2 linked regions of the Stegostoma tigrinum genome follow. The protein of the gene in region 1 interacts with the protein of each later gene in a pairwise test. Links are inferred from orthologs where the notes say so. Each region holds a gene or a part of one and is shown in the gene's direction. Other genes may lie near its edges. The genes, in order: pumilio homolog 2-like and dazl.

Region 1 (15,329 bases):
CTGAATATTCTCTATATCCATGCCCCTCATGATTTTATAAATCTGTATAAGGTCATTCCTCAGTCTCCAATGCTGCAGGGAAAATAGCCCAACCTATTCAGTATCTCCCCATAGGTCAAAACCTCCAGTCCCAGCAACAACTTGTAAATGTTGATGTAGATGATGACTAGAATTGTATGCAATATCCCAAAAGTGGCCTCACCAATGTACTGAACAACTGCAATATGATATCCCAACTCCTATATTCAATGTTATGACCAATGAAGGCATGTGTGCCAAATGCCTTCTTCACAATCCTCTCTATATGCAACTCAATTTTCAATAAATTTTGTACCTACACGCATAGGTCTCTTTGTTCGGCAACACTCCCTGGGTCCTTACCATTAAGTGTATAAGTTCTGCCCTGGTTTGCCCTGCCAAAATGTAGTACCTCAGATTTATCTAAATTAAATTCCATCTGCCACTCCTCGGCCTGTTGGCCCATCTGATTAAGGTCCTGTTATCCTCTGAGATAACCATCTTTACTGTTCACTAAAACATCTATTTTGGCGTCATCTGAAAAATTACAAATGATACCTCCTATATTCACATCCACATCATTTATATAAATGATGAAAAGCAGCGGACCCAGCACCAATCCTTGCGGCACACCACTGGTCACAGGTCTCCAGCCTGAAAATATCCCTCCATCATCCTCTGTCTCCTACCTTCAAGCCAATTTTGTATCCAATTGGTCAACTTCCATTGGATCCCATGTGATCTAATCTTACTAACCAGCCTACCATGTAGATTCTCATTGAATGCTTTACTAAAGTCCTTATATACAACATCTACTGCTTGACCATCATCAATCTTCTTTAACAACTCTTCAAAAAACCTCAACAAAGTTGATGGGACACGATTCTCCACACACAAAGCCTTAAAGTATGTTAAGCTGGATAAATCCCCTGGACCTGATCAAGTCCATCCTCAGACATTGTGGGAGGCTAGGGAAGAAATTGCAGAGATTTTTATTTCACCTTTGCCGTTTGAGAAGTTCTGGAAGACTGGAGGGTGGCTAATGTTTTCCCATTGTTTAAGAAAGGTAGCAAAGACAAACCAGGGATCTACAGGCCAATGAGCCTGGCATCAGTGGTAGACAATTTATTGGAGAGGATACTGGACAGGATCTACCAACACTTGGATAGCCAAGGTCTGATCAGGGATAGTCAGCATGGATTTGTGCATGGGAAGTCATATCTGACAAATCTTTTAGAGTTTTTCAAAGAGGTAACCAACAGGATAGGTGAGGGTAGGGTAGTGAATGTTGTCCATATGGACTATAGTAAGGTCTTTGACAAGGTTCTGCATGGCAGGCTGGTCATGAAGGCTAGGTAGCATGGGATCCAGGGAGAGCTAGCTAACTGGATTCAAAATTGGCTCAATGGTAGGAGGCAAAAGGTGATGGTTGAAGGTCGTTTCTTCGACTGGAGGCCCGTGACCAGTGGTGTGCCACAGGGGTCGGTGCTGAGATCTTTCTTATTTGTTATTTACATAAATGGTTTGGATGTGAATGTACAAGGCATGATTAGTAAGTTTGCAGATGGTACAAGATAAGGAAGTCTGATTGATAGCAAGGAAGGTTATCAAAAATTACAGAGGGATCTTGATTAGAAGGGGAAATGGGCTGAGGCTTGGAATATACAATTCAATGCAGATAAGTGTGAGGTGTTGCGCTTTGGAAAGTCAAACCAAGGTGGGAGTTATACAGTAAATGGTAAAATCCTGAGGGCTGAGGCATTGAGTATAGGAGTTGGGATGTTGTGTTACAGTTGTACAATTTGTTGGTGAGGCTGCACTTGGAGTATTGTGTACAGTTTTGGTCACCCTGTTATAGGAGAGCCATAATTAAACCGGAAAGTGTGCAAAGAAGATTTATGAGGATGTTGCCAGAACAACTTGGCCTGAGTTATAGGGAGAGGTTGGCCAGGATAGGACTTTATTCCTTGGAATGTAGGAGAATGAGGTGTGATCTTATTGAGGTTTATAAAATAATGAGGGGCATAGATAGGATGAATGCATACAGTCTTTTTCCCAGAGATGGGGAATTGAAAACTGGGGGACATAGGTTTAAGATAAGGGGAGAAAGATTTAAGAAGGACCTGAGGGGCAACTTCTTCATGCAGAGGGTGGTGCATATATGAAATGTGCTGCCAGAGAAAGTGGTTGAGGCAGATACAATAGCAACAGTTAAAAAAAAACATTTCGATAAGTATATAAATGGGAAGGATTTCAAGAGAAATGGGCCAAATGTGGGCAATTGGAACTACCTGAGATAACAAAGTGTGGAGCTGGATGAACACAGCAGGCCAAGCAGCATCTTAAGAGCACAAAAGCTGACGTTTCGGGCCTAGACCCTTCATCAGAAAAGAGTGGGCACCATAGTTAGCTTGGACCAGTTTTGGCTGAAGGGCCTGTTTCCATGCTGTATTACTGTATGACTCTATGATTCTAAATACCTCAGCATGGCCCCAGCAATCACTTCCCTAGCTTCCCCATAAAGATGTGGGAAACACTTGATCCTGGAGATTTATCTACCTTTATGCATTTTAAGACTTTCAGTACCTCCTCTTCTGTAATTTGGAAACTTTTCAAGAAATCACTATGTATTTCCCCAAGTTCTTTCGCCTCCATGTCCTCCCTACAGTAAAAACTAATGCAACATACTTGTTTAGTATCTCAACCATCCCCTATGGTTCCACATATAAACTGTCTTGTTGATCTTCAAGGACTGACTCTTCTGAACTCCAGAGGATAAAGGCCTAGGCTGTATAAATCTTCCTTAAAAGGCTCATTCACTCTTCATTCACTCCAGGTATTAGTCAAGCAAGCTTTCTATGAACTGCTCTCATGGTGATCAGTACTGTATATATCAAAATTCCCATGCAAAACAGAAGCATAACCTGCCTACTCCTGCGTTTAACAATGAAACATACCATTCTATTGGCTTTCCTGATTGATTACTGTACCTGCATCCTCACCTGCCATTCATGCACTCAGACATCCAGTTCTCTCTACATCTCAGAGCTCTGCAATCTCTCACCGTTTTATTCTTTGTGCCTAAATGGACATTTTTCGCACTTCCCCACATTGTCTTCCATTTGCTAGCTCTCTGCCCACTCACTTAGCCCATCTGCATCCCTTTGTAAAGCCCTTATATTGTTTTCCCATCTCACTTTCCTATCTACCTTTGAGTCTTCAGCAAATTTAGCTACTGCACTTTTGGTCCCTTCAGTCAAATTATTTATATAGATTGTAAAGAGTTGAGGCCTCAGTGCAGAATTTTATAGCACACTATCTGCATGACATTCTGTCTGAAAAAGACCCATTTATTGCCACTTTCTGCTATCTGTTAGAAACCAATTTTCTATCAATGCCAGTATGTTATCCCCAAAACCATGAGCTTTAACCATGTGCAATAATTTTTAATCTGTCACCTTATCAAATGCCTTCTGAAAATCTAAGTACAATATAACCACTGGTTCCCCTTTATCCATAGTACAAGTTACTGGCTTCAAAGACATCAAATAAATTTGATAAATATTTCCTTTGACAAAGCCATGTTGGCTCTGCCTGCTTACCTAGCTAAGTGTCCTGACATAATATCTTCAATAATAGTTTCTAATATTTTCCTTACGAAAGATGTTATGCTAATTGGCCCGTATTTTCCTGATTTCTGTCTCGCTCCTTTTTTTGAATACACGAGTTTCATTGGCAATTTTCAAATTGAAGGGAACCTTCATCAATCAATTGAGTTTTGGAAAACTAAAACTGGTATATCAACTATCTCAGTAGCTACATCTTTTAAGACCCTAGGATGACATACATCAGGACCTGGGGGCTTGTCAACTCAAGAGTTCCAACAATTCATTCAATGCTACTTGAGTCTAAGTTCTGTGTGTTCCTCCCTCTTGTTCAATTCTTGCTGTACACCTTTTTCCTCAATGTTACTTGTATCTTTCCTGCTGAAGACCAACACAAAATATCTGTTTACTATCTCTGCCATCTCTGTGTTCTCCATTACTATTAATTCCCAAACATATTTCTATAGGACCAACACTGACTTTGTTTACTCTTTTTTTCTTTTTAAATATCCAAAGAAAAAACTTCCTATCTGTTATAATATTGTTGGAAAACTTTCTTTGCTCAAAGTTTTTCCACCTTATCAATCTTTTAGCATCCACCTTATCAATCTTTTAGCAGTTCCTTGCCTTTTTAAATATCAATCTTCTGACCTACATGCATCTTTGCTCAATCATGTGATTTTCCTTCATGGTTGATATTATCTTTGATTTCTTTTAATACTTGACTATGGATGACAGGTCTGTCCCATAGAATTTTCCTTACTTGTTGGAATGTATGGATGGTTAATGCCCTTGCTCGCCACAGTACACTCCACTATTCAGTACCCATACCTAGTGCCCAATTGTAGTCACAGTGTCTTTCCAGTGCCCTCCCCCATGCCAGTGCCCACTCCCAGTGCGGAACCCACAATGTCCTATCCTCGTGCTAGTGTCCCTTCCCCAGTGCTCGCTGTGCCAGTGTCTGTTGCTAGCCCTCCAGGCCATGATCTTCCCCAATGCCCCAGCGCCAGTGACTCATGTCAATGTCCTCCCATATCAATATCATAGGCAATGCCTCCTGTGCCTGTATCCTCACCAAGCCCCTGTGTTGGTGTCCTCTCCTTTATCCCCTGCTCTGATGCCTTTTTCTGTGCCACTGCTCCCCATCCCGTGAAACTTTCTGTATCAGTGCACTCCCCGGTGCCCAGTTTTCTCACAATGTTGTCTCCATGCCCCCGGTGCCTTCTTCGATCCCCAGTGTCTTCCCAAAGTCAGCAGTGCCTGTGTCATCCTCCCATGCCTTCACTGGTGCCAGTGTCCCCCACAAGTGCCCTTCCCATGCCAGTGCCCCCTCCATGCCTCAAGTGCCCACCCTGATGCCCTATTCCAGTGCCCCATGCCCTCCCCGATGCCCTATCCCAGTGCCTCCACATCCTCTCTGATGCTCTGTCCCAAACCCACCCCCATACCCCTGATTCCCTATCCCAGTGCTCCCCCCCCATGCTTCCCTGAAGTCAGGATGGACGGGGTTATGGGGGAACCGGGGCTGGATGGATGGAGGGACGGGGCCCAGCCTGCTGTCGAAGGGGGTGGGGGCAGGGCCAAAAGGAAGATTTTACAAATGAAGAACAGTATGGTAGGAACAAAAACAAAGTTGCTGGCAAAGCTCAGCAGGTCTGGCAAAACCTGTGAAGGAGAAAACGGAGTTAACGTTTCGGGTCCGGTGACCCTTCCTGGAACTGAGACCGTCTTCTGTCTAACCCCTTACTGTCCTGTTTAGACAGCATCAACTTGACAAATTGTTATGATCTCTCTACCTTGATTAGTTTGTACGGTTTTGAATTCAGCATGTGATTCCAGTCATTTGGTTCATCTCCAGCACCACCTTATTTAGTCAGCTTTCCTACTCCTCTGGTGCTGCCTGGCCTGCTGCGTACATCCAGCTCTACAACTTGTTATAACCTTACTTTGATTTTTTTGTAAGTGGTTCTCTCCTCCCCTAATCAGATTATAGGTCATCCCTTCACTGGTTATTCAAAGAAAGGACTGCTATGCATTGACCAGGGATCAAACCCACGTTTCCTGTGTCGGAAGCAAAGATTCTTCCTCCGAACTACCATGGTTATTCAGCTGTTGACACTTGACTCTCAGTCTAACACTGTTGGTCACCGGCAGATTTATAATCTGGTACTACACACACCATTTGTATGATTTTTTTGACGTCTCTGCCCTTTGATTTCGCTACCTATAAACTCTGTGCCTGTGTGCCCTGCTTTCTCACTGCACTCGGAAAGCTTGTGATTTCAAATAAACCTGCTGGACTGTAACCTAGTTAATGAAATGTGAGGCTGGATGAACACAGCAGGCCCAGCAGCATCTCAGGAGCACAAAAGCTGACGTTTCGGGCCTAGACCCTTCATCAGAGAGGGGCATGGGGTGAGGGTTCTGGAATAAATAGAGAGAGAGGGGGAGGCGGACCGAAGATGGAGAGAAAAGAAGATAGGTGGAGAGGAGAGTATAGGTGGGGAGGTAGGGAGGGGATAGGTCAGTCCAGGGAAGACGGACAGGTCAAGGAGGTGGGATGAGGTTAGTAGGTAGGAGACAGAGGTGCGGCTTGGGGTGGGAGGAAGCGATGGGTGAGAGTAAGAACAGGTTAGGGAGGCAGAGACAGGTTGGACTGGTTTTGGGATGCAGTGGGTGGAGGGGAATAGCTGGGCTGGTTGTGTGGTGCAGTGGGGGGAGGGGATGAACTGGGCTGGTTTTGGGATGCGGTGGGGGAAGGGGAGATTTTGAAGCTGGTGAAGTCCCCTTCCCCTGCAACCGCAGGAAATGCTACACTTGCCCCCACACCTCCTCCCTCACCCCTATCCCAGGCCCCAAGATGACTTTCCATATTAAGCAGAGGTTCACCTGCACATCTGCCAATGTGGTATACTGCATCCACTGTACCTGGTGTGGCTTCCTCTACATTGGGGAAACCAAGCGGAGGCTTGGAGACCGCTTTGCAGAACACCTACGCTCGGTTCGCAATAAACAACTGCACCTCCCAGTCGCAAACCGTTTCCACTCCCCCTCCCATTCTTTAGATGACATGTCCATCATGGGCGTCCTGCAGTGCCACAATGATGCCACCCGAAGGTTGCAGGAACAGCAACTCATATTCCGCTTGGGAACCCGACAGCCCAATAGCATCAATGTGAACTTCACCAGCTTCAAAATCTCCCCTTCCCCCACCCCATCCCAAAACCAGTCCAGTTCGTCCCCTGCCCCCCACAACCAGCCCAGCTCTTCCCCTCCACCCACTGCATCCCAAAACCAGTCCAACGTGTCTCTGCTTCCCTAACCTGTTCTTCCTCTCACCCATCCCTTCCTCCCACCCCAAGCCGCACCTCCATCTCCTACCTACTAACCTCATCCCACCTCCTTGACCTGTCCGTCTTCCCTGGACTGGCCTATCCCCTCCCTACCTCCCCACCTATACTCTCCTCTCCACCTATCTTCTTTTCTCTCCATCTTCGGTCCGCCTCCCCATCTCTCCCTATTTATTCCAGAACCCTCACCCCATGCCCCTCTCTGATGAAGGGTCTAGGCCTGAAACGTCAGCTTTTGTGCTCCTGAGATGCTGCTGGGCCTGCTGTGTTCATCCAGCCTCATTTTATTATATTGGATTCTCCAGCATCTGCAGTTCCCATTATTTCTAACTTGGTCGACCCTCGTCTAACATCAGCACTTCCGCGAGGGGGCGGGACTCGGTCTGGAGGCGGGACCCTGCGGGCAGTCGGGGGCGGAGTCGGCACGGGAGGTGGAGCGGGGCCATTCCGGCCTTTCCGTGGTGGGGGGGAGGGAGGAAGTGGGCGGTGTTTAGCGGTAGGGGGCGGGGCCTAGGTGGTGAGCGCGGGGATGCTGCCCGGCGCCATGTTGTTGTGGGGAAGGCGCTGAGTTTCTGTCGGAACAAAAAAAAACCCGGAGGGAAAGCCCGGCGGAGGCCGCCGGCTAGGCCGCCAACATCAGCCTGAAACTGTGAGTGTGAGCCGGCCCTCGAGCCGCGGGAACTGATACGCAGACGACCGGTGGAGAGAGAGAGCCAGCGCGCGCGCGTTTAGAAACAAAATAATGTCGGAGCCACACAAAGATCGAGGAAGAGGAGCGGGCCCCGGGTCCGGGCCGCTGCCCAGAATCAGAGTGTGCGGGGAGAAGGGCCGGGGAGCTGGCGGGGGGGGAAGAGGAGAAGTGAGGGGATTGAGAGGGGTGGAGGAGAATATGGAGGAGGACAGGACGAGAGGGGGATGGTGGGGTTTGGGGTAGGCGGGTGGGGGCGGAGCGGGGGTGTACGTTGTCGGGGATAGAACAGGGTTGGGAGGAGAAGGAGCAGGTGTGGGGGATGAGTGAAAGTAGAGGGGGAAAAGGAATGGGGGCGTGTGGGGAGGGGTGGAATGGGGGCGTGTGGGGAGGGGTGGAATGGGGGCGTGTGGGGAGGGGTGGAATGGGGGGGCAGGGGGGGTGGAATGGGGGGGCAGGGGGGGTGGAATGGGGGGGTGGAAGGGTGGAATGGGGGGCGGAATGGGGGCGTGTGGGGAGGGGGAAGGGGAGTGGGGAGGGGGAAGGGGAGTGGGGAGGGGGAAGGGGAGTGGAGGGGGGGTGGAATGGGGGGGCAGGGGGGGTGGAATGGGGGGGCAGGGGGGTTGGAGGGGCGGAATGGGGGCGTGTGGGGGTGGCGGAAGGAGGGGCGGAATGGGGGCGTGTGGAGGGGGGGAAGGAGGGGCGGAATGGGGGCGTGTGGAGGGGGGGAAGGAGGGGCGGAATGGGGGCGTGTGGAGGGGGGAAGAAGGGGCGGAAAGGGGGCGTGTGGGGGTGTTGGAATGGGGGCGTGCGGGGGGGAAGAAGTGGCGGAATGGGGGTGGCGGAAGAAGTGGCGGAATGGGGGCTTGCGGGGGGTGGCGGAAGAAGTGGCGGAATGGTGGCGTGTGGAGGGGGGGGAAGAAGGGGCGGAATGGGGGCGTGTGCAGGGGGGGGAAGAAGGGGCGGAATGGGGGCGTGTGGAGGGGGGGAAGAAGGGGCGGAATGGGGGCGTGTGGGGGGGAAGAAGGGGCGGAATGGGGGCGTGTGGAGGGGGGGAAGAAGGGGCGGAATGGGGCGTGTGGAGGGGGGGGAAGAAGGGGCGGAATGGGGGCGTGTGGAGGTGGGGGAAGAAGGGGCGTGTGGAGGGCGTGTGCAGGGGGGGGAAGAAGGGGCGGAATGGGGGCGTGTGGAGGGGGGGAAGAAGGGGCGGAATGGGGGCGTGTGGGGGGGAAGAAGGGGCGGAATGGGGGCGTGTGGAGGGGGGGAAGAAGGGGCGGAATGGGGGCGTGTGGAGGGGGGGGAAGAAGGGGCGGAATGGGGGCGTGTGGAGGTGGGGGAAGAAGGGGCGTGTGGAGGTGGGGGAAGAAGGGGCGTGTGGAGGGGGGGGAAGAAGGGGCGTGTGGAGGGGGGGGAAGAAGGGGCGTGTGGAGGGGGGGGGAAGAAGGGGCGTGTGGAGGGGGGGGGAAGAAGGGGCGTGTGGAGGGGGGGGGAAGAAGGGGCGTGTGGAGGGGGGGGAAGAAGGGGCGTGTGGAGGGGGGGGGAAGAAGGGGCGTGTGGAGGGGGGGGGAAGAAGGGGCGTGTGGAGGGGGGGGGAAGAAGGGGCGTGTGGAGGGGGGGGAAGAAGGGGCGTGTGGAGGGGGGGGGAAGAAGGGGCGTGTGGAGGGGGGGGGAAGAAGGGGCGTGTGGAGGGGGGGGAAGAAGGGGCGTGTGGAGGGGGGGGAAGAAGGGGCGTGTGGAGGGGGGGGAAGAAGGGGCGTGTGGAGGGGTTAAGAAGGGGCGTGTGGAGGGGGGGGAAGAAGGGGCGTGTGGAGGGGGGGGAAGAAGGGGCGTGTGGAGGGGGGGGAAGAAGGGGCGTGTGGAGGGGGGGGAAGAAGGGGCGTGTGGAGGGGGGGAAGAAGGGGCGTGTGGAGGGGGGGGAAGAAGGGGCGTGTGGAGGGGGGGGAAGAAGGGGCGTGTGAGGGGGGGGAAGAAGGGGCGTGTGGAGGGGGGGGAAGAAGGGGCGTGTGGAGGGGGGGGAAGAAGGGGCGTGTGGAGGGGGGGGAAGAAGGGGCGTGTGGAGGGGGGGGAAGAAGGGGCGTGTGGAGGGGGGGAAGAAGGGGCGTGTGGAGGGGGGGGAAGAAGTGGGGGAATGGGGGCGTGTGGGCGTGGCGCACTGGGGGCGTGCCGGGGGGGAAGGAGTGGGGATGTCGGGGCGTGCGGGGGGGGAAGGAGTGGGGGCATGCGGTGGGGGGAACGAGTGGGGGCGTGCGGTGGGGGCAAGGAGTTGGGGCGTGCGCAGGGGGGGGAAGGAGTGGTGCAGTGCTGGTGGGGGGAAGGAACGTTGGAGTGCTGGTGGGGGGAAGGAACGTTGGAGTGGGGGCGTGCGCAGGGGGGAAGGAGCAGTGGAGTGGGGGGGGAGGAGCGATGGAGTTGGGGCGTGCGGGGGGGGGGATGGAGTGGGGGCGTGCGGGGGGGGGGATGGAGTGGGGGCGTGCGGGGGGGGGAAGGAGTGGGGGCGTGCGGGGGGGGAAGGAGTGGTGTAGTGTGGGCATGCGGGGGGGAAGGAGTGGTGCAGTCTGGGGTTGGGGGGGGGAAGGAGCGGTGGAGTGCGTGCGTGCGGAGTGGGGAAGGAGTGGGGGCGTGCGGAGGGGGGAAGGAGCGGTGGAGTGGGGGCGTGCGGAGGTGGGAAGGAGCGGTGGAGTGTGGGCGTGCGGAGGGGTGAAGGAGCGGTGGAGTGGGGGCGTGCGGAGTTGTGAAGGAGCGGTGGAGTGGGGGCGTGCGGGGGCGGGAAGGAGCGGGGGCGTGCGGGGGGTCAAGGAGTGGGGGTGTCGGGGCGTGAGGCGGTGGGGGAAGGAGTGGTGCAGTGCTGTTGGGGGGATGGAGTGTTGGAGTGAGGGCGGGGAAGGAGTGGGGGCGTGCGGTGGCGAAGGAGTGGGGGCGTGCGGAGGGGGAAGGAGCGTTGGAGTGGGGGCGCGCGGAAGGGGAAGGAGCGGTGGATTGGGGGCGTGCGGAGTGGGGAAGGAGCGGAGGGGGGAAGGAGCAGTGGAGTGGGGGCGTGCGGAGGGGGGAAGGAGCGGTGGAGTGGGGGCGTGCGGAGGGGGGAAGGAGCGGTGGAGTGGGGGCGTGCGGAGGGGGGAAGGAGCGGTGGATTGGGGGCGTGCGGAGTGGGGAAGGAGTGGGGGCGTGCGGAGGTGGGGGAAGGAGTGGGGGCGTGCGGAGGTGGGGGAAGGAGTGGGGGCGTGCGGAGGTGGGGGAAGGAGTGGGGGCGTGCGGAGGTGGGGGAAGGAGTGGGGGTATGCGGGTGGCGGGGGGGGGAGTGGTGCAGTGCTGGGGAGTTGAGTGGGGGCGTGCGGTGGGGGGAAGGAGTGGCAGCGTGCGGCGGGGGGAAGGAGTTGGGCGTGCTGGGGGGAAGGAGCGGTGGAGTGGGGGCGTGCGGGGGGGAAGGAGCGGTGGAGTGGGGGCGTGCGGGGGGGAAGGAGCGGTGGAGTGGGGGCGTGCGGGGGGGAAGGAGCGGTGGAGTGGGGGCGTGCGGGGGGGAAGGAGTGGTGGAGTGGGGGCGTGCGCAGGGGGGGAAGGAGCGGGGGCGTGCAGCGGGGGGGAAGGTGCGGGGGAGTCGGGGTGTGCGGGGCAGGGTGAAGGAGTGGGGGTATGCGGTGGGGGGAAGGAGTGGTGCAGTCCCGGGAGGGGAAGGAGTGGAGAAGTGGGGGCGTGCGGAGGGGGCAAAGGAGTGGTGCAGTGCCGGGAGGGGAAGGAGTGGAGAAGTGGGGGCGTGCGGATGGGGCAAAGGAGTGGTGCAGTGCTGGTTGGGGGAAGGAGTGGTGGAGTGAGGGTGTGCGGGGGTGGAAGGAGTGATGGAGTGGGGACGTGCGGGGGGTGAAGGAGTGATGGAGTGGGGGCGTGCGGGGGGTGAAGGAGTGATGGAGTGGGGGCGTGCGGGGGGGGGGAGCCAAGGAGTGGTGGAGTGGCGGCGTGCCGGGGGGGGAAGCGAAGGAGTGGTGGAGTGTCGGCGTGCCGGGGGGGAAGGAGTGGGGGCGTGCGGTGTGGGGAAGGAGTGGTGCAGTGCTGGTGCAGTGCTGGTGGGTGGAAGGAGCGGTTGTGCGGAGGGCGGAAGGAGCGGTGGAGCGGGGGCATGCGGAGGGGGGAAGGAGCGGTGGAGTGGGGGCGTGCGGAGGGGGGAAGGAGCGGTGGAGTGGGGGCGTGCGCAGGGGGGATGGAGCGCTGGAGTGGGGGCGTGCGGGGGGGGAGGGAGTGGGGGCATGCGGGGAGTGGGGGCGTGCGGGGGGGGTGGGGGAGTGGGGGCGTGCGGGGGGGAAGGAGTGGTGCAGTGCTGGGGGGTGAAAGAGTGGGGGATGCGGTGGGGGGAAGGAGTGGGGGGGGTGGGGGCGAGCGGGGGGGTGAAGGAGTTGGGGTGTGCGGGGGGGGAAGGAGTGGTGCAGTGCTGCGTGGGGGGGGAAGGAGTGGGGGCATGCGGTGGGGGGAAGGAGTGGGGGCGTGCGGTGGGGGCGAGCAGTTGGGGCGTGCGCGGGGGTGGGGAAGGAGTGGTGCAGTGCTGGTGGGGGGAAGGAACGTTGGAGTGGGGGCGTGCGCAGGGGGGAAGGAGCGGTGGAGTGGGGGCGTGCGGAGGGGGGAAGGAGCGGTGGCGTGGGGGCGTGCGGGGGTGGGGTAAGGAGTGGGGGAGTGGGGGCGTGCGGAGGTGGGGGAAGGAGTGGGGGTGTGCGGGTGGGGGGTGGAGGAGTGGGGGCGTGCGGTGGGGGGAAGGAGTGGGGCGTGCGGCGGGGGAAGGAGTTGGGCGTGCTGAGGGGGGGAAGGAGTTGGGGCGTGCGCAGGGGGGGAAGGAGCGTAGAGTGGGGGCGTGCGCAGGGAGGAAGGAGCGGTGGAGTGGGGGCGTGCGCAGTGGGGAAGGAGCGGTGGAGTGGGGGGCGTGCGCAGGGGGGAAGGAGCGGTGGAGTGGGGGCGTGCGCAGGGGGAAGGAGCGGTGGAGTGGGGGCGTGCGCAGGGGGGAAGGAGCGGTGGAGTGGGGGCGTGCGCAGGGGGGAAGGAGCGGTGGAGTGGGGGCGTGCGCAGGGGGGAAGGAGCGGTGGAGTGGGGGCGTGCGCAGGGGGGAAGGAGCGGTGGAGTGGGGGCGTGCGCAGGGGGGAAGGAGCGGTGGAGTGGGGCGTGCGCAGGGGGGAAGGAGCGGTGGAGTGGGGGCGTGCGCAGGGGGGAAGGAGCGGTGGAGTGGGGGCGTGCGCAGTGGGGAAGGAGCGGTGGAGTGGGGGCGTGCGCAGTGGGGAAGGAGCGGTGGAGTGGTGGCGTGCGCAGTGGGGAAGGAGCGGTGGAGTGGGGGCGTGCGCAGGGGGGAAGGAGCGGTGGAGTTGGGGCGTGCGCAGGGGGGAAGGAGCGGTGGAGTGGGGGCGTGCGCAGGGGGGAAGGAGCGGTGGAGTGGGGGCGTGCGCAGGGGGGAAGGAGCGGTGGAGTGGGGGCGTGCGCAGGGGGGAAGGAGCGGTGGAGTGGGGGCGTGCGCAGGGGGGATGGAGCGCTGGAGTGGGGGCGTGCGGGGGGGGAACGAGTGGGGGAGTGGGGGCGTGCGGGGAGTGGGGGCGTGCGGGGGGGTGGGGGAGTGGGGGCGTGCGGGGGGGAAGGAGTGGTGCAGTGCTGGGGGGTGAAAGAGTGGGGGCGTGCGGTGGGGGGAAGGAGTGGGGGGGTGGGGGCGAGCGGGGGGGTGAAGGAGTTGGGGTGTGCGGGGGGGGAAGGAGTGGTGCAGTGCTGGGTGGGGGGGGAAGGAGTGGGGGCATGCGGTGGGGGGAAGGAGTGGGGGCGTGCGGTGGGGGCGAGCAGTTGGGGCGTGCGCGGGGGTGGGGGAAGGAGTGGTGCAGTGCTGGTTTGGGGAAGGAACGTTGGAGTGGGGGCGTGCGCAGGGGGGAAGGAGCGGTGGGAGTGGGGGCATGCGCAGGGGGAAGGTGCGGTGGAGTGGGGGCGTGCGGAGGGATAAATGAGCGGTGGAGTGGGGGCGTGCGGAGGGGGGAAGGAGCGGTGGCGTGGGGGCGTGCGGGGGGGGTAAGGAGTGGGGGAGTGGGGGCGTGCGGAGGTGGGGGAAGGAGTGGGGGTGTGTGGGTGGGCGGTGGAGGAGTGGGGGCGTGCGGTGGGGGGAAGGAGTGGGGGCGTGCGGCGGGGGGAAGGAGTTGGGGCGTGCGCAGGGGGGGAAGGAGCGGTAGAGTGGGGGCGTGCGCAGGGAGGAAGGAGCGGTGGAGTGGGGGCGTTCGCAGGGGGTAACGAGCGGTGGAGTGGGGGCGTGCGCAGGGGGGAAGGAGCGGTGGAGTGGGGGCGTGCGCAGCGGGGAAGGAGCGGTGGAGTGGGGGCGTGCGCAGGGGGGAAGGAGCGGTGGAGTGGGGGCGTGCGCAGGGGGGAAGGAGCGGTGGAGTGGGGGCGTGCGCAGGGGGGAAGGAGCGGTGGAGTGGGGGCGTGCGGGGGGGGAAGGAGCGGTGGAGTGGGGGCGTGCGCAGGGGGGAAGGAGCGGTGGAGTGGGGGCGTGCGCAGGGGGGAAGGAGCGGTGGAGTGGGGGCGTGCGCAGGGGGAAGGTGCGGTGGAGTGGGGGCGTGCGGAGGGATAAATGAGCGGTGGAGTGGGGGCGTGCGGAGGGGGGAAGGAGCGGTGGTGTGGGGGCGTGCGGGGGGGGTAAGGAGTGGGGGAGTGGGGGCGTGCGGAGGTGGGGGAAGGAGTGGGGGTGTGTGGGTGGGCGGTGGAGGAGTGGGGGCGTGCGGCGGGGGGAAGGAGTGGGGGCGTGCGGCGGGGGGAAGGAGTTGGGCGTGCTGAGGGGGGGGAAGGAGTTGGGGCGTGCGCAGGGGGGGAAGGTGCGGGGGAGTCGGGGCGTGCGGGGCAGGGTGGAAGGAGTGGGGGTATGCGGTGGGGGGAAGGAGTGGTGCAGTCCCGGGAGGGGAAGGAGTGGAGAAGTGGGGGCGTGCGGAGGGGGCAAAGGAGTGGTGCAGTGCCGGGAGGGGAAGGAGTGGAGAAGTGGGGGCGTGCGGATGGGGCAAAGGAGTGGTGCAGTGCTGGTTGGGGGAAGGAGTGGTGGAGTGAGGGTGTGCGGGGGTGGAAGGAGTGATGGAGTGGGGACGTGCGGGGGGTGAAGGAGTGGTGGAGTGGGGGCGTGCGGGGGGCAAGGAGTGGTGGAGTGGGGGCGTGCGGGGGGCAAGGAGTGGTGGAGTGGGGGCGTGCGGGGGGCAAGGAGTGGTGGAGTGGGGGCGTGCGGGGGGCAAGGAGTGGTGGAGTGGGGGCGTGCGCAGGGGGGAAGGAGCGGGGGCGTGCAGCGGGGGGGAAGGTGCGGGGGAGTCGGGGCGTGCGGGGCAGGGTGGAAGGAGTGGGGGTATGCGGTGGGGGGAAGGAGTGGTGCAGTCCCGGGAGGGGAAGGAGTGGAGAAGTGGGGGCGTGCGGAGGGGGCAAAGGAGTGGTGCAGTGCCGGGAGGGGAAGGAGTGGAGAAGTGGGGGCGTGCGGATGGGGCAAAGGAGTGGTGCAGTGCTGGTTGGGGGAAGGAGTGGTGGAGTGAGGGTGTGCGGGGGTGGAAGGAGTGATGGAGTGGGGACGTGCGGGGGGTGAAGGAGTGATGGAGTGGGGGCGTGCGGGGGGTGAAGGAGTGATGGAGTGGGGGCGTGCGGGGGGGGGGAGCCAAGGAGTGGTGGAGTGGCGGCGTGCCGGGGGGGGAAGCGAAGGAG
Region 2 (14,925 bases), on another chromosome or scaffold:
TGGGGGTCGATGTCACGGAGGACCTCCGCGAGGTGAGGGGCCAGCAAACCTCGCTCTTCTCCGTGGAGGCCTCCAGGATAATCTTCCGGTCCAGGGTCCGCTCCGTGGAGCAGGACGAGACATGCTTGCGTTTCTTCTTTCATAAGGTGCACAAAGAGAGCTCTGTGCTTAGCCTGCTGAAGGATGATGACGGCTTGGTGAAGTCGTCTCGGCCTAACACTTTGAGGAGCAACAGATCCTTCTATGCCAGACTGTACGACACGAAGCCCACGAACAGCACGGCCTCCGAGTCATTCCTGTCATCTATCACGGAGGTCTTAGACGACGGCACGAGGGAGTGGCTGGACCGGCCGATATCCCTGGACGAGCTGACCAGAGACCTCAAGTCCTTGGAGAGGAATAGGACTCTCGGGAGCAACGGCTTACCGGTCAAGCTGTATTCCACTCTGTGGGACCTGGTTGGCCAGGACCTGCTGGAGGTGTACGATAGTGTGCTTCGGGCAGGGGAAATGTGCAAGTCCATGAGGAAGGGCATCATCACCCTCATTCACAAGAGGAAGGGGGAGAGGGAAGGAATTAAGAATTGGCATCCCATTTCACTATTGAACGTGGACTAAAAAATCTTGGTCAAGGTCATAGCCAACCTGGTCAGGTCTGTCCTGGAGTCAGTGATTCACCCTGATCAAACCTGTGCTGTGCCGGGCAGGAAGATCGCTGAGAGCCTCGCGCTCATCAGGGATACGATAGCCTACGTGCAGGACAGGCGGGTGGACACCTGCCACATCAGCCTGGACCAGGAGAAGGCCTTCGACAGGGTCTCTCATGCTTACATGAGGGACGTCCTCTCCAAATTGGGGTTCGGGGAGGCCATCCGCAATTGGATTCGGCTGCTCTCCACCAACATCGTTAGTGCAGTCTCGATCAACGGGTGGGAATCGGACAGTTTTCCTGTCACATCTGGAGTCAGGCAGGGCTGCCCGCTCTCTCCTGCCTTGTTCGTGTGCTGTGTGAAGGCCTTCGCCGCATCCATCAGGAAGGACGTGAGCCTGAAGGGCGTGACTATCCCAGGCAGCGGAGGCCTTCAGGTCAAGACCCCCCTGTACATGGACGACGTCGCCGTCTTCTGCACCGATCGTCGGTCGGTGAGTAGGCTGTTGCACATCTGCCGCCAGTTTGAACTGGCCTCGGGTGCCAAAGTCAATAGGGGTAAGAGCGAGGTCATGTTCTTCGGGAACTGGAACGACTGCTCCTTCATCCCCTTCACCGTCAGGACAGACTACCTGAAGGTGCTGGGTGTTTGGTTCGGCTGGGGCATGCACTAATACTTGGGAGGAGCGTATCACCAAACTGAAGCAGAAGCTAGGCAGGTGGTTCTCCGGTCCCTCTCCATCATGAGTAAGAACCTTGTTGTCAGGTGCGAGGGGCTTTCGGTACTGTTGTATGTGTGCAGGCCTGGCCTATTCCCTGGACCTGCTCTGCTGCGGTCACCCGGGCCATCTTCCACTACATTTGGGGGTCGAGGATGGACCGGGTCCGCAGAGACACCATGTACAAAGACCTGGAAAATGGGGCAACAGGCGTACTGAACGCCACCCTCACCCTGATGGCTACCTTTGTGTGTGGCTGCATCAAGCTGTGCATAGATCCTCAGTACGCAAACACCAAGTGTCACTACTTACTGAGGTTCTACCTGTCCCCGGTGTTGCGAAGGATGGGCCTGGCCTCTTTGCTGCGGAACGCTCCGAGTAGTTGGACCGTCCCGTACCACCTGTCCTTCGTGGAGAAATTTTTGAAACGAAACACCTTTGACCAAAAGGCCGTCAGGCAGTGGTCAGCATGTAGTATCCTCAAGACCCTTCGGGAAAAGGAGATGGTGGATCCCGTCTTGTGGTTCCCCACGCAGACTGCCAAAGTCGTTTGGCAGAATGCCTCATCGCCAGAACTTTCAAACAAGCACAAGGACATTGCTTGGCTGGCGGTGAGAGGGGCTCTGACAGTGTGATCCTTTATGCATGCCCGGAATCTCTGTGCCACCGCAATGCCCTCGAGGTGGCTGCTGGGGTGACGAGACTGTCGATCACCTCCTTCTGGAGTGTGCCTATGTGCAGGAGGTCTGGAGGGGGATGCAGTGGTATTTGTCGAGGTTCGTCCCGAGCAGCTCCGTGACGCGGGACTCCGTGCTCTCCAGGCTGTTTCCCGGGACGCACCCTGAGACCAACATTAACTGCGCCTGGAGGACCATCAATGCAGTGAAAGACGCCCTTTGGTCTGCCTGCAACTTGCTGGTCTGCCATCTGAAAGAACTGACCCCGACCGAATGTTGCAGACTGGCGCACTCCAAGGTCCAGGACTAGGTGCTGAGGGACGTGCTAAAGCTTGGGGCAGCTGCCGCCAAGGCGCGGTGGGGAAAGACCACCGTATGAAACCCCTTATCCAGAATAGAAAAAAGAGCGCTGTCTGGTAACTGGGCCCAGCTGGCGCCTTCCCCAACTGGTCAGGTGGCCAACAGGGACTGTGTGGGGAGATGACTGCCAGGGTATTTTCTTTGCTTTGTTTTTTGTTCTTCTTTGTTTTGTTTTTTTCCTTTCGTTGGTGTACGTACCCCCGGCTAACCTGGAGTGGCTTGCATGACTGGGTAGGTGTATAAATATGTTTTATTTTTTGTACATCTTATGAATAAAGTATATTTTGTCAAATAAAAAAAGTCACGAAACGTCTGAAAACTAACCTTGCAGCTCAGCGAGCAAACTCACATCCAGAACCTCAACCTGAGCTACAAATCTTCTGAAAACTTGCTACCTTTTCCTGTAACCTCAGGAGGTGCTACACCTGCCCCTACATGTCCCCCCTCAACTCCATTCCAGGCCTCAAGAAAGCTATCCACATTAAACAGATGTTCACCTGCACATCCACTAATGTGGTCTATTCTATCCGTTGTTCCCAATGTGGCCTCCACTACAACGAGGAGATCAAGTGGAGACTTGGAGACTGCTTTGTGGTGCACCTACATTCAGTTCGCGCCAAACAACACCTCCCACTCCCCGGACGACACATCCGTCCTGGGCCTCCTCCAGCGTCACATCGATGCCACCTGGGAACTGGAGGAACAGTTCCGCCATGGAAGCCAACAACCCAATGGTCTCAATGTGGTCTTTACTAGCTTCAAAATCTCTCCACTTCCGACCTCATCTCAAGAGCAAACTCCCCTCTCATCCCTGCCTCCTTGACCTGTCTGTCATCTGTCCCACCCATCCACCCCTCCCTCCTCACTGACGAATCCCATCCCCACTTCCTACCTACACTCACCTTTACTGTGCCTCCTTGGCGTGTCCGTCTTCTCTCCCATCTATCTGCTCCACTATACACCTGCTATCACCGCTCCCCGTCTCTCTATTTATTTCCGAGCCTCCTTCCCCTCCCCCATTTCTGACCCGAAACATCAGCTTTCCTGCTTGTCTGATGCCGCCTGACCTACTGTGTTCCTCCAGCTCCACATCTTGTTATCTCATACTCCAGCATCCGCAGTTCTTACTATCCCTGTTTGTAAAATACTTGACTCGTGCATCTTCTTTAAACTTTCCCCCTCTCACTTTAAAACTATGCACCATAATATTTGACATTTCTACCCTTGGAAAAAGACTCTCACTGTCCACCCTATCCGTGCCTGTCATGATAACAAATACCTCCAAACAGGTCACGCCACAGCCTCCAACGGTCTAATGAAAACAATCCAGGTTTTGTCCAACCTCTCCTTGTAGTTAATAAACTCCAATCCAGGCATCCTCTTTTGTACCCTCTCCCAAGCCTTCACATTCTTCCTATGGTGTGGAGACAAGAACTGCACACAATATTCCAAATGTGGTTTAATTAAAGTTTTACACAGATGCAACATGACTTGCCTACTTTTATACCTAATACACTGAACCATGAAGGCAAGAATGCCATATGCCTTCTTTATCACCTTATCCACCTGTGTTGCAACTTTCAGGGAGTTATGGACTTGGGACCCCTAAAATCCCTTAATATATATATGGTCCTAAGCATCCTGCCATTTGCTGTATACTTTCCTCATGTATTTGACCTCCAAAAATACCTCACAACTTACACTTGTCTGCTTTACACCCCATCTGCCATTTCTTGGCCCAACTTTCCAACTGATTTATATCATTTAACAACTTTTCTTACTATCCAAAACCCCATCAATTTTCCTCTTGTCTGCAAACTTACAAATTGGACTGCCTACGTTTTCATCCAAATCATTTATACACATCACAAACAGAAGTCCCAGCACTGATCTTTATGAAACACCAGTGGTCACAGACCTCCTGTCTGAAAAACAACACTCCACAACTATACAGTCTTTTATAACCAAACCAATTCTGTATTTATCAACTCACTGTGGATACTATGTGATTTAGTTGTCTGGGCCAGCCTACCAAGGGAGACCTTATCAAATGCTTTATTAAAGTCCATGTTGACAACATCCACTGCCTTACTCTCAGCAATCATTTTCATCACTTTCTCAAGAACTCTATCAGTTTGTGGGACATGGCATCTCCACAAACAAAGCCATGCAGATTATCCCAAATAAGTCTCTTTTACAAATATGTGTAAATCTGTCCACAGCAATCTTCTCCAGTAATTTCCTTATCAATGATAAGGCTCACCAGCAAATAATTTCCTGGATTATCCCTGTTGCCCTTCTTTAACAAAGCAACAACATTGGTTCCAGTGTTTTGGGGGCTTCAACTGTTGCTAAAACAGGATACAAACATCTCTGTCAAGGCCCCAGCAATTGCCACCCTTGTCTCTCTCATTATCTTAGGATGGATCCCATCAGACCCTGAGGACTAAACAATCTTCATGTTTTTCAAGACACCCAACACCACCTCCTCAACACCAGAACATCAACATATCCCTTCTTAATTTTACCATCATTAAGGTCCTTGACCTTGATGAATACCGAAGTACTCATTAAGGTCCTCACCCATTTCCTCAGGTACAACATATAAATTGCGCTCTTGCTCCTTGTGTGGGTCTACCCTTTCTCTAGCTGCCTTCTTGCTCCTAATATATGTACAAATATATTTTGGGATTCTCCTTAATCCTGCTTGCCAAGGACATTTCATTGCCCCCTTTAGGCCTCCTAATTCCTTGTTTAAGTCTTTTCTGCTTTGTTTATAGTCCTCAAGGGCCTTACCTGATTTCAGTTTCCTAATCCTTACATTTGTTTTCTTTTTTTGACTAAACTTCCAATATCTCTTGCCATCCTTATCTCTCATCCTCACAAGATCAATACGCAAACAATTTTAATATTCTCTAGAGAACATACAGCTACACCTTAGATGGTCAGCCTGACTTGACTGCAGGTTGCTTAAAAGTGTTCAAAGGTGAGAGCTTCTTGACTTGATACACTGGGATTTCCCCGACATCTTGGATCTTTCTTTTACCATCACATTGCCAAGGGAATTTCCAGATTTTATCTATTGTGTATGCATTTTTGTCTTTAGTTATTTTTAATTATCTTTCAAAGATCTCATGCAGAATCCTGTTATTAGGTCACATTGTACAATAAAGTGTGTGACCAACTTCATTGTCATGCGAAGTTCCAAACGGGTTTTGATTAGTTCAATAATATATGAAAAGTCTAAGCACTTTATCACATTTGCAATGAACAGTATGTTCGATTCAGCCTCAATCAAACTCCTAGATAATAAAGTGTGAAGGTGGATGAACACAGCAGGCCAAGCAGCATCTCAGGAGCACAAAAGCTGACGTTTCAGGCCTAGACCCTTCATCAGAGGGCTCCTGAGATGCTGCTTGGCCTGCTGTGTTCATCCAGCGTCACACTTTATTATCTTGGATTCTCCAGCATCTACAGTTTCCATTATCTCTCAATCAAACTCCTTTTGGTCAATACTTTTTCCTAACTTGACTGAGTTTTCTGCCTTGGTGTTCAGACACACATGCACGTATCAGTCCTTAATCTTTTCCTTAGAGATCATAACCTCTTTTCCTCTAAAATACAACTAAATGCTGCAGCACTTGAAATTTTAAGAAGTTTGTATGTTAAAACTGGTGTTTACAAATTAATGTGATAATGGGAACTGCAGATGCTGGAGAATCCAAGATAATAAAGTGTGGAGCTGGATGAACACAGCAGGCCAAGCAGCATCTCAGGAGCACAAAAGCTGACGTTTCGGGCCTAGACCCTTCATCAGAGACCCTTCATCACCCTCTCTGATGAAGGGTCTAGGCCCGAAACGTCAGCTTTTGTGCTCCTGAGATGCTGCTTGGCTTGCTGTGTTCATCCAGCTCCACACTTTGTTATCTTTTACAATTTAATGGTTTCTTTCATGTAGTCTGTAATGTGAAACACAGAGAATTATACATTTTTTAAGCTTCATGATCAAGAACACTAGGCGGACAACAGTGTCAAAAGTTTATTCAGCACACCTAGGTAACAACAATATTTATTTCACAGTAATAACAGACTAATCACAGAATTATCAGGAAAATTAGGCAAGTACACTATCCAGGTGGGTAATTAGTATTTAATGAAGGCTTGGGACTTGCATGAATTTCAACACGAGGAAGCTTGAGTGCAAAGATTCAACAAAAAATAACCACAATGTGTTGATGGCATCGGTAACAATTTGGAATATTGTGTGCAGTTCTGGTCGCCCCATTACAGGAAGGATGTGGAAGCATTGGAAAAGGTGCAGAGGAGATTTATCAGGATGTTGCCTGGTCTGGAGCGCAGGCCCTATGAAGAAAGGCTGAGGGACTTGGGTCTGTTCTCATTGGAGAGAAGGAGGCTAAGAGGGTATTTAATAGAGACATACAAGATGATCAGAGGATTAGATAGGGTGGACAGTGAGATTCTTTTTCTGACGATGATGACTTCAGCTTGTACAAGGGGCATAGCTACAAATTGAGGGGTGATAGATTTAAAACAGATGTCAGAGGCAGGTTCTTTACTCAGAGAGTAGTAAGGGCATGGAATGCCCTGCCTGCCAATGTAGTTAACTCAGCCACATTAGGGGCATTTAAGCAGTCCTTGGATAAGCATATGGATAATGATGGGATAGTGTAGGGGGAGGGGCTTAGATTAGTTCACAGGTCGGCACAACATCGAGGGCTGAAGGGCCTGTTCTGCGGTGTATTGTTCTATGTTCTAAATGGTGCAAGTCAAGTTGTAGCTAAAATGACTAATATTTAGAAACTGTTCAGAAGGCCAAACACAATCTGTGGACAGAGGAAACAAAGTTAATGTTTCAGGTTGGTGGCCTTTCATTACAACTGGAAAATATTAGAGATGTAATGGGCTTAAAAAAAATTCAGAAGTAGGGATACAGGGGAGGGGAGTAAAGGACAAACGGGAAGGTCTCAGAGAAGAAGGAAGCTAGCAAATGAAAAGAAAGGGTTTGGCATAAGAAAAAAAATTGGCTCTATAATTTTTTTAACATTTTTCGCCAGATATTGAGGATTTTCATACTTCGTTTTTCACTCAAAATGAAGTTCAATAGAAGCTTTAAAAACATTTCATCATTTGATAAGGCACTTCATAGACATCTCAATTCGATACTGACTTCGATTTCAGTTTTTAACATTATTTGCATTTTTTCAGACACATCTGTCGTTAATGATTCTGCTTTTGTCATATATATCTCCTCTGGATTTTGATTGTATGCTGGTCCCAATTACATCTATTTTCGACTCACTCTATCATGCCTAAACTGCTCTGCCTTTCAATTAATCTGAATGTCTGTTAAAATCCTAATTTAAGCGAGACACGTAGAATCAGAGAATGATTGCAAAACAGATTAAAAGATTTTTGGCCTGTTCGTGCTCTGTCTTCGAGAAACTCAGCAAGCCTATTCTCCTAGATAATAAAGTGTGAAGCTGGATGAACACAGCAGGCCAAGCAGCATCTCAGGAGCACAAAAGCTGACGTTTCGGGCCTAGACCCTCTCTGATGAAGGGTCTAGGCCCGAAACGTCAGCTTTTATGCTCCTGAGAATGCTGCTTGGCCTGCTGTGTTCATCCAGCTTCACACTTTATTAACTTGGATTTTCCAGCATCTGCAGTTCCCATTATCACTGAAGCCTATTCTCCTATCTTTTTTCTATAGCCCTCATTTTATTTCAGTTGAAAATCACAATTGGATTCTCTTCTACCTTTCAAGCAGTGCATCTTTCAATCTTAGCCATTTGTCGGGTATAATAGGTTTTTCTAATGTCTCTTTTGTTGTCTGCGATTCACTTTCTGTCAGGGATTCTGGAGCCTTCTACTCATACGAAGTTTTCTCAACCAACTTTGTCTACACTCTCATGATTTAAAGACTTCTTTCACACTCTTCTTCTATAAGGAGAATAACCCTAGCTTCTCAACGGAGTCATTCTAGCAAATAATTTCTCCATCCTGCCAGTGGCGTCAAATTTTCCAAAAAATGATTCAGAGAGGTCGTCGTCGACCTAAAAGGATAACTTTTGCCTCACTGCCCCGATCTGCTTTCGACATCTTCTGTTTTGATAGTAACTTCCAAAATCAAGGTTTTTCGCTTTAATCGATTTTATGTCCAGTTGCAGTCCTCGCAAACCCTGTCACTCTTGGGCTATTCTGTTAAGTTCAGACTCTACAAATTGAGCCGCTGTCGCGATAAATCTACATGATCTACAAAAAGCACGGCGGAACGTTCAGAACTATCAGTGACCCCCTCTTCAAATTAGACCGACGTGTAACATCGTATAGACACGTTTATATCTCAACTCGAAATATATATTTTATGATTCTGTATTTTATCGCAGCGGGACAATTTCAATCTTTATGATTTCCGACACTGAAATAAAGAAACAAGGGTGATCCAATTAATTCGCAACACCATTTCAAGAACTGAGAGTCCAGTGTTGGTAACTGAACACTTTATTTCCCTCTCTATCTCTCCAACTTTAAACATGTTGTCCGTTAAACAGTTCTTCACTCAACAAAATGGCGGCCTTCAAATTCCAGCTTCATTTCACGCGCTTGCCGACTTAGAGAGCGGGCTAGCTTGGACTCGACCATCGTCTGCCTAGACGGGACACACTAGCAACAGACACTTTTTGTTTAACAGTTGGCATTTTGAATTGATATGATAGTGTTTCATTTTCTAGCGTTTTTTCGTATTGACTTGCAGTGCAGTGACTAGTTGCAGAGGCGGTAAACAGTTATTAATCTTCTGATGATTTGTAAAAGCCCTTGGGGTACCCCTGCTGGGTGGTGTTGAGTGGATGCAGCATATAAATAATAGGCGCGGCGGAGGCATTTCTCGCCGAACGTCTGGTTGTTGGAAGGCTGTTATTTGAGAAACATGGCTGAAATGGTAAAACAGGCGGGAAATAACTTGCGATCAGTCTCCATGTTCAATAAGTGGTTTCCATAATATGTTGGTTAACTTATGTTTTGATACAAGCTGTTAGTCGAAAACCCTTAAACCACGTGCCATGTTCTAGCGAGGCGGAGTGCCGTCTCTCGACGCCGTTAAATGGCGGTTTGGACTCGTCAATAATTTCGGGGTTCATGATAAATTATTGTGAGGCTGGGGGCCGGTGGGGAGACTTACTATTTGTACACACAGTTCCACCTCATCACCCTTTGGCTTTAATTTAGTCTTGAAACTGGTTGTTCTTTATCTCATGTAAACTTGTTACTTTTTTGTAACTTGTCCGGTTAGCCAATGCCACGTTCACAGTAAACAGAATCGTAAATGCCTTCAGAGATAATGGGAACTGCAGATGCTGGAGAATCCAAGATAACAAAGTGTGAAGCTGGATGAGCACAGCAGGCCAAGCAGCATCTCGGGAGCACAAAAACTGACGTTTCGGGCCCAATGCCTTCCCAGTCTTTGAGACATTCGCGGGTCGCCGACTCCATTATCTTTATGACACCGTAGACACAACTGCATTTGGCTTGAACAAAGAAGCGGACTGGGTCGGCAATAAGGGGGGGGAGGGGGCGAAGATATTTATCGGACCGCATCCAGCGTTTGTTTCACCTCCACGTCGCTTGTATTTTAAACCAAAAGGAAGTGCGAATTAGTGCAGATGAAAGCTCAACATGGAGTTTTAGTTTACAAGAAGCCATTTTCCTCCTCTACATATCCAACAAGAACAGAAAACAACATTATAGTTTCATTGTTTCATATTGAATGAAAAGTTTTTTATACACCTGACGAAATGGAGGGCTAAAGTGTGGGGTTGCATGTGTTTAGGGACTTATTTTCTTCATTTGTTATCCACAACATCCCAGACACACTTAACCTTTAGGATGTATTGGACATAAAACAATTTTGAACATGTTACCATCTTTCCATCAAAGATTATTTTTGACTGGTAGAAAACAGTAGGTATGAATGAGTCTGGTAGGATGTGGTGAGTGAAGTCTTGGAGTGGTCTGAGTTGGGGTCTCAACTTCTTACAGTATGTAGCAATCATTTGGATGGAGGAAATGTTATTAAAGGTAAATTTGCAGATGATGCCATAATAGTCAGGAAAGTATATGGTGTAGAAGATGCGAGGTTTTGCACTTTGGAAAAAAGAATACAGGCATGGACTATTTTCTAAATGGTGAGAAAATTCGTAAAGCAGAAGTACAAAGGGATCTGGGAGTGTTGGTCCAGGATTGTCTAAAAGTTAACTTGCAGGTAGAGTCCGTGATTAAGAAAGCGAATGTAATGTTGCTTTATCTCAAGAGGATTGGAATATAAAAGCAGTGATGTGCTTTTGAGACTTTATAAAGCTCTAGTTAGGCTCCATTTAGAATACTGTGTCCAGTTTTGGGCCCCACACCTCAGGAAGGACATAGTGGCACTGGAGCATGTCCAGCGGAGATTCACACGGATGATCCCTGGAATGGTAGGTTTAATGTACGATGAATGGCTAAGGATCCTGGGATTGTATTCATTAGAGTTTAGAAGGTTGAGGGGAGATCGAATAGAAACTTACAAGATAATGTATGGCTTAAAAAGGGTGGACGCTGGGAAGTTGTTTCCGTTAGGTGAGGAAACTAGGACCTGTGGGCACAGCCTTAGAATTAGAGGGGGTAAATTTAAAACTGAAATGAGATGACATTTCTTCAGCCAGAGAGCGTTGGGCTTGTGGAATTCATTGCCACGGAGTGCAGTGGAGGCCGGGACGTTAGATGCCTTCGAGGCAGAGATCGACAAATTCTTGATCTCTCAAAGAATCGAGGGCTACGGGGAGAGTGCAGGGAAGTGGAGTTGAAACGCCCATCAGCCATGATTTAAATGGCAGAGTGGGCTTGATGGGCCGAATGTCCTTATTTCCACTCCTATGTCTTATGGTCTTAAGATCTGATTGTAAATAGGTTCAGTAATTGGGCAAGAAGCTAGCAGGAAATAAGATAGGAAATTGTGAAATTGTTCACTATGGCAGCAAGAATGAAAAAGCAATGTATTACTTAAATAAGAATGATTGTAGAATTTTGAGGAGCAGATGAACTTAGGTATACTGATGCATAAATTCTCAAATGAACATACAGGCACAGTGTGTAATCAAGAATGCTAATGGCCTGTTGTCCATCATTATAATAGGAATGGAACATAAAAGCAAAAATGCTATGCTTGAGTTATATAGAACATGAATGAGGCACCATCTCTGCACTGTGTGCAGTTTTGTTCTCCTTATTTGATGAAGAATGTAAATGCATTGGAACTGATGAGAAGGTTTACTATGTTGATAACTAATGAATGGATTGATTTTTGAGAATGTTTTAAACAGGCTGGCTTGTTTCTACATGAGTTTAAAAGAGTGATAACTTGATTGAAGCATTAAAGCTCCTGCATAGTCTTAGAAACGTGAATGTTTCCTCTTTGCGTGAGTCCATTTCCGTTTTCTTAAAAAAAAATGTTTGTGATGTCTGAGAATTGAGTGTTGTGAGACTCTGGAAACATGGTCGCTAAATATTTGTTATGCAAAATTATAAAGATTTTTGAGCAGGGAAATTGAAGATTATTGTGGGTAGTTGAGAATGTGGATTTGATGTGAACAAATCGACTATAATCTTAATGTCACAGCAGGTTTGAGGGGCCAAATATTAAGGTACACGTAATCCTGGGGTGACATCTGACATATGCTAAGGCTTAATGATATGGTGAAGCATTTATATTTTTCTGTGCTCACTTGTAAAGTCCCAAATTTCTTAGCCCTTTTGACTACCTTTCTATTGTTCTTATTGACATTTCTATAAAGTATAGTTGTGACTTTAATTTTTCTGAGAATACAATGTCTTACTAATTTATGTCCCCTTTTGCCTGTCACTACTATTATCCAGTTGCAGTTAACTAATTTTAAAGGTTCTTTGGTTCTTTTCTATATCTGAGTTGAAAATGGGTGTAGCCATGTTGTATCTATTAAAACAAAACATCTATATTGAAACAGAAATAGGATGTAGAACAGACCACTAAAGTGTATCAGAGATGAGTAGAGCTAATTTAAAAGGTTTTTAAAAGAGGTAATATTGAGAAGGAAAGAAGTAGATGCTGAGAGGTTTAATGTGTGTGGCTAAAAATTTTGATCTATTCAAGATTAGATAGTGGATAAAAATTCAGGAGAGCCTGACAAGTAGGTACAGAGGTATAATGTTGCAAGGCTGCCTAGAGTTTTAAAGATCGTGTAACTGATGGGGAATTGAAATATGTACTTTTTTTGTTCAACCTAAGCTGTGCTCCCCAAACTCCCTTTTTTCATCATGAATCTATTTTATTGCTTGAAAGTTGTAGAGACCTGCTACAACTAAGATGGTGGCAGGGTCAAAGGATGTTTAATCCACAGGATATTTAGGTAAAAAGCACCTAACTTCTGGTAAGATTTTCTATAGGATAGAACTAGAACACTGGGCTGCATCTGATCTTAACTGCCAATATTTAAGTGTGATTGTTAGCACTTTGTCAGATTTTAATGGCAGTCATTGCTGCATTGGAGGTTGTAACTCACTTTGGTAGCTGGGTAGAAAAATGGCAGTAAGGATGTGCTGAGCATTAAGGTTGGATGTTGAAGCGCAGATAAGACTTGGCGTCATATGGCCAGTATGGATACAGTTGAGGTTGAGAGAAATAACTTGCACCTGTATGTATGAATGTAGCATAAATATGAGAATTGATCCTATGTAGGTGATGAGAGGACAGTTGTTGCAAACCTCCATATTACTACCAGAGCAAATTGATAGAGTCAGTAAGACCAGCCAGTTGAATGTGCAGTTCATAGATTGGTGTGGGAGAAATGGATTCTGATTCTTGGGTTAGTGACACCAGTACGAGCAAAAGAGGGTGTTGTATTGTTCTTAATGGCTTCTGCCTAAATTGTGCTGGGACCAATGTTCTGATGAATCATAATAGAAGACTTTAAACATAAATATTTCAGTTGGGGAAGTGCCACAATGAACCTGTTTTAATGGAGACAGATTGCAGAACATTGCTAAACAAAGGGATCTGGGTGGCCATGTACTTAACCAGCAAAAAAGTTGGTACTTTACAGTGGCGATAAAGAACGAGTGGAGGTGTCTTGCTACAGCTGGATCATTAGTGTTTCACTAATGTCCTTTAGGAAAGGAAACTACCATCCTTACCTGGTCTGGCCTACATGTGACTCCAGACCCACAGCAATGTGGTTGATTCAGCTGCCCTCTGGGAAATTAGGGAAGCGCGATAAATGCTGTCCAGCCAGCGACGTCCTCATCCCGGAATGAATAAAGAAAAGAAAGCTGTAAAATGTGTTCATTATTCTGTGTCTAGAATACTGGAATTTTAAGGATACTTACGTTGGAAGTAGTTCAGACAGGGCTCACTTGGCTGATTCGTGAGATGAGGGGCCTGTCATATAAAGGCATAATTGCATAGGTCAGGTGTGTATTTGTTGGAGTTTAGAAGAATGATAAATGTTCTTAATGAAATCTAGATATTGGGGGGGTTTGACAGTTTAAATGTTGAGATGATGTTTCCCTCTAAATCTAGAATTTGGGGGGCACATTTTTTTAAAATAAGGAGTTTCCCATTTAAAACATGATGGGGAATTTCTTCTAAGGGTAATTAATATTGTAAATATTCTTTGCCTGAATATGTAGGATTTGAATATATATTGAATATATTTAAGACTGAGTCAGACAGGATTTTTGAATGACAAACAAGTTGATGGTTAGGAAGAACAGGTATAAAATTGCTTCTAAGGCCATAATCTGATCTGCCATGATCGCATTGAATGGCAAAGAATAGTTGTTTGGCCAAAAGGCCTAATGTTCCTATTTATTGTGATCTTATGAGAAGAAGGAAGTCAAATGTGCATCTTTGTAGTTGGGAGGGAAAGACACTTATGGAAATAACAAAACTGTACTTTGGCCATCTTGCCAATCTTTGGTCCTTTGAAAGAGCTAATTTTTTCCCCTGTTTGTTCATGTTGGTGTTGCTGCCTAAGTCAGTAGTCTTTGGAGAAGGTGATCTGACTATTGGAACTGTTACGTGCACAGTCTTGTTAGGAATGGAGTTCCAGGATTTTATTTCAGCAACAGTGAAGGAAATGCAAGATAGTTTTAAGTCAAGGTAATGTGCAACATGGAGAAGTTGCTTGTGTTAGTTTTCCCAAAGAAAGACAGAAAGTGAATTAGTAGCCAGAGAATTTATGGCCTCTTGACATGTTTTGTGGCTACCTTATTTCTCTGGCTGGTTCAGTTTAGTCTCTGCTCAGTCATGTTCCTCAGGGTGTTGACAGAAGGGAGTTCAGTGGTGGAATTAGAATTGACTTTATTGTCATGTGTAATCAAGTACAAATGTGCAAGAATACAGTGAAAAATGTACCATGTTGCCACACATGGCGCCATCTTAAGTACAAAGTATCTAGTTACCAACCTTGCGTACTAAGATAGATTTAGGTA

Evidence for each region.
Region 2: the proteins of pumilio homolog 2-like (region 1) and dazl interact in a two-hybrid assay, tested with the Homo sapiens proteins (2 studies listed by BioGRID and IntAct). The link is inferred for Stegostoma tigrinum from reciprocal best matches to the Homo sapiens genes PUM2 and DAZL.

Annotation. Positions count from the first base shown.
Region 1 is NC_081357.1:125,797,595-125,812,923, forward strand, and holds the start of pumilio homolog 2-like, read left to right. Parts: upstream 1-7,485; 5' UTR 7,486-7,622; intron 7,623-15,329. UniProt on the Homo sapiens protein: Sequence-specific RNA-binding protein that acts as a post-transcriptional repressor by binding the 3'-UTR of mRNA targets.
Region 2 is NC_081355.1:103,459,787-103,474,711, reverse strand, and holds the start of dazl (deleted in azoospermia-like), read left to right. Parts: upstream 1-9,322; 5' UTR 9,323-9,352; coding exon 9,353-9,364; intron 9,365-14,925. UniProt on the Homo sapiens protein: RNA-binding protein, which is essential for gametogenesis in both males and females. Plays a central role during spermatogenesis.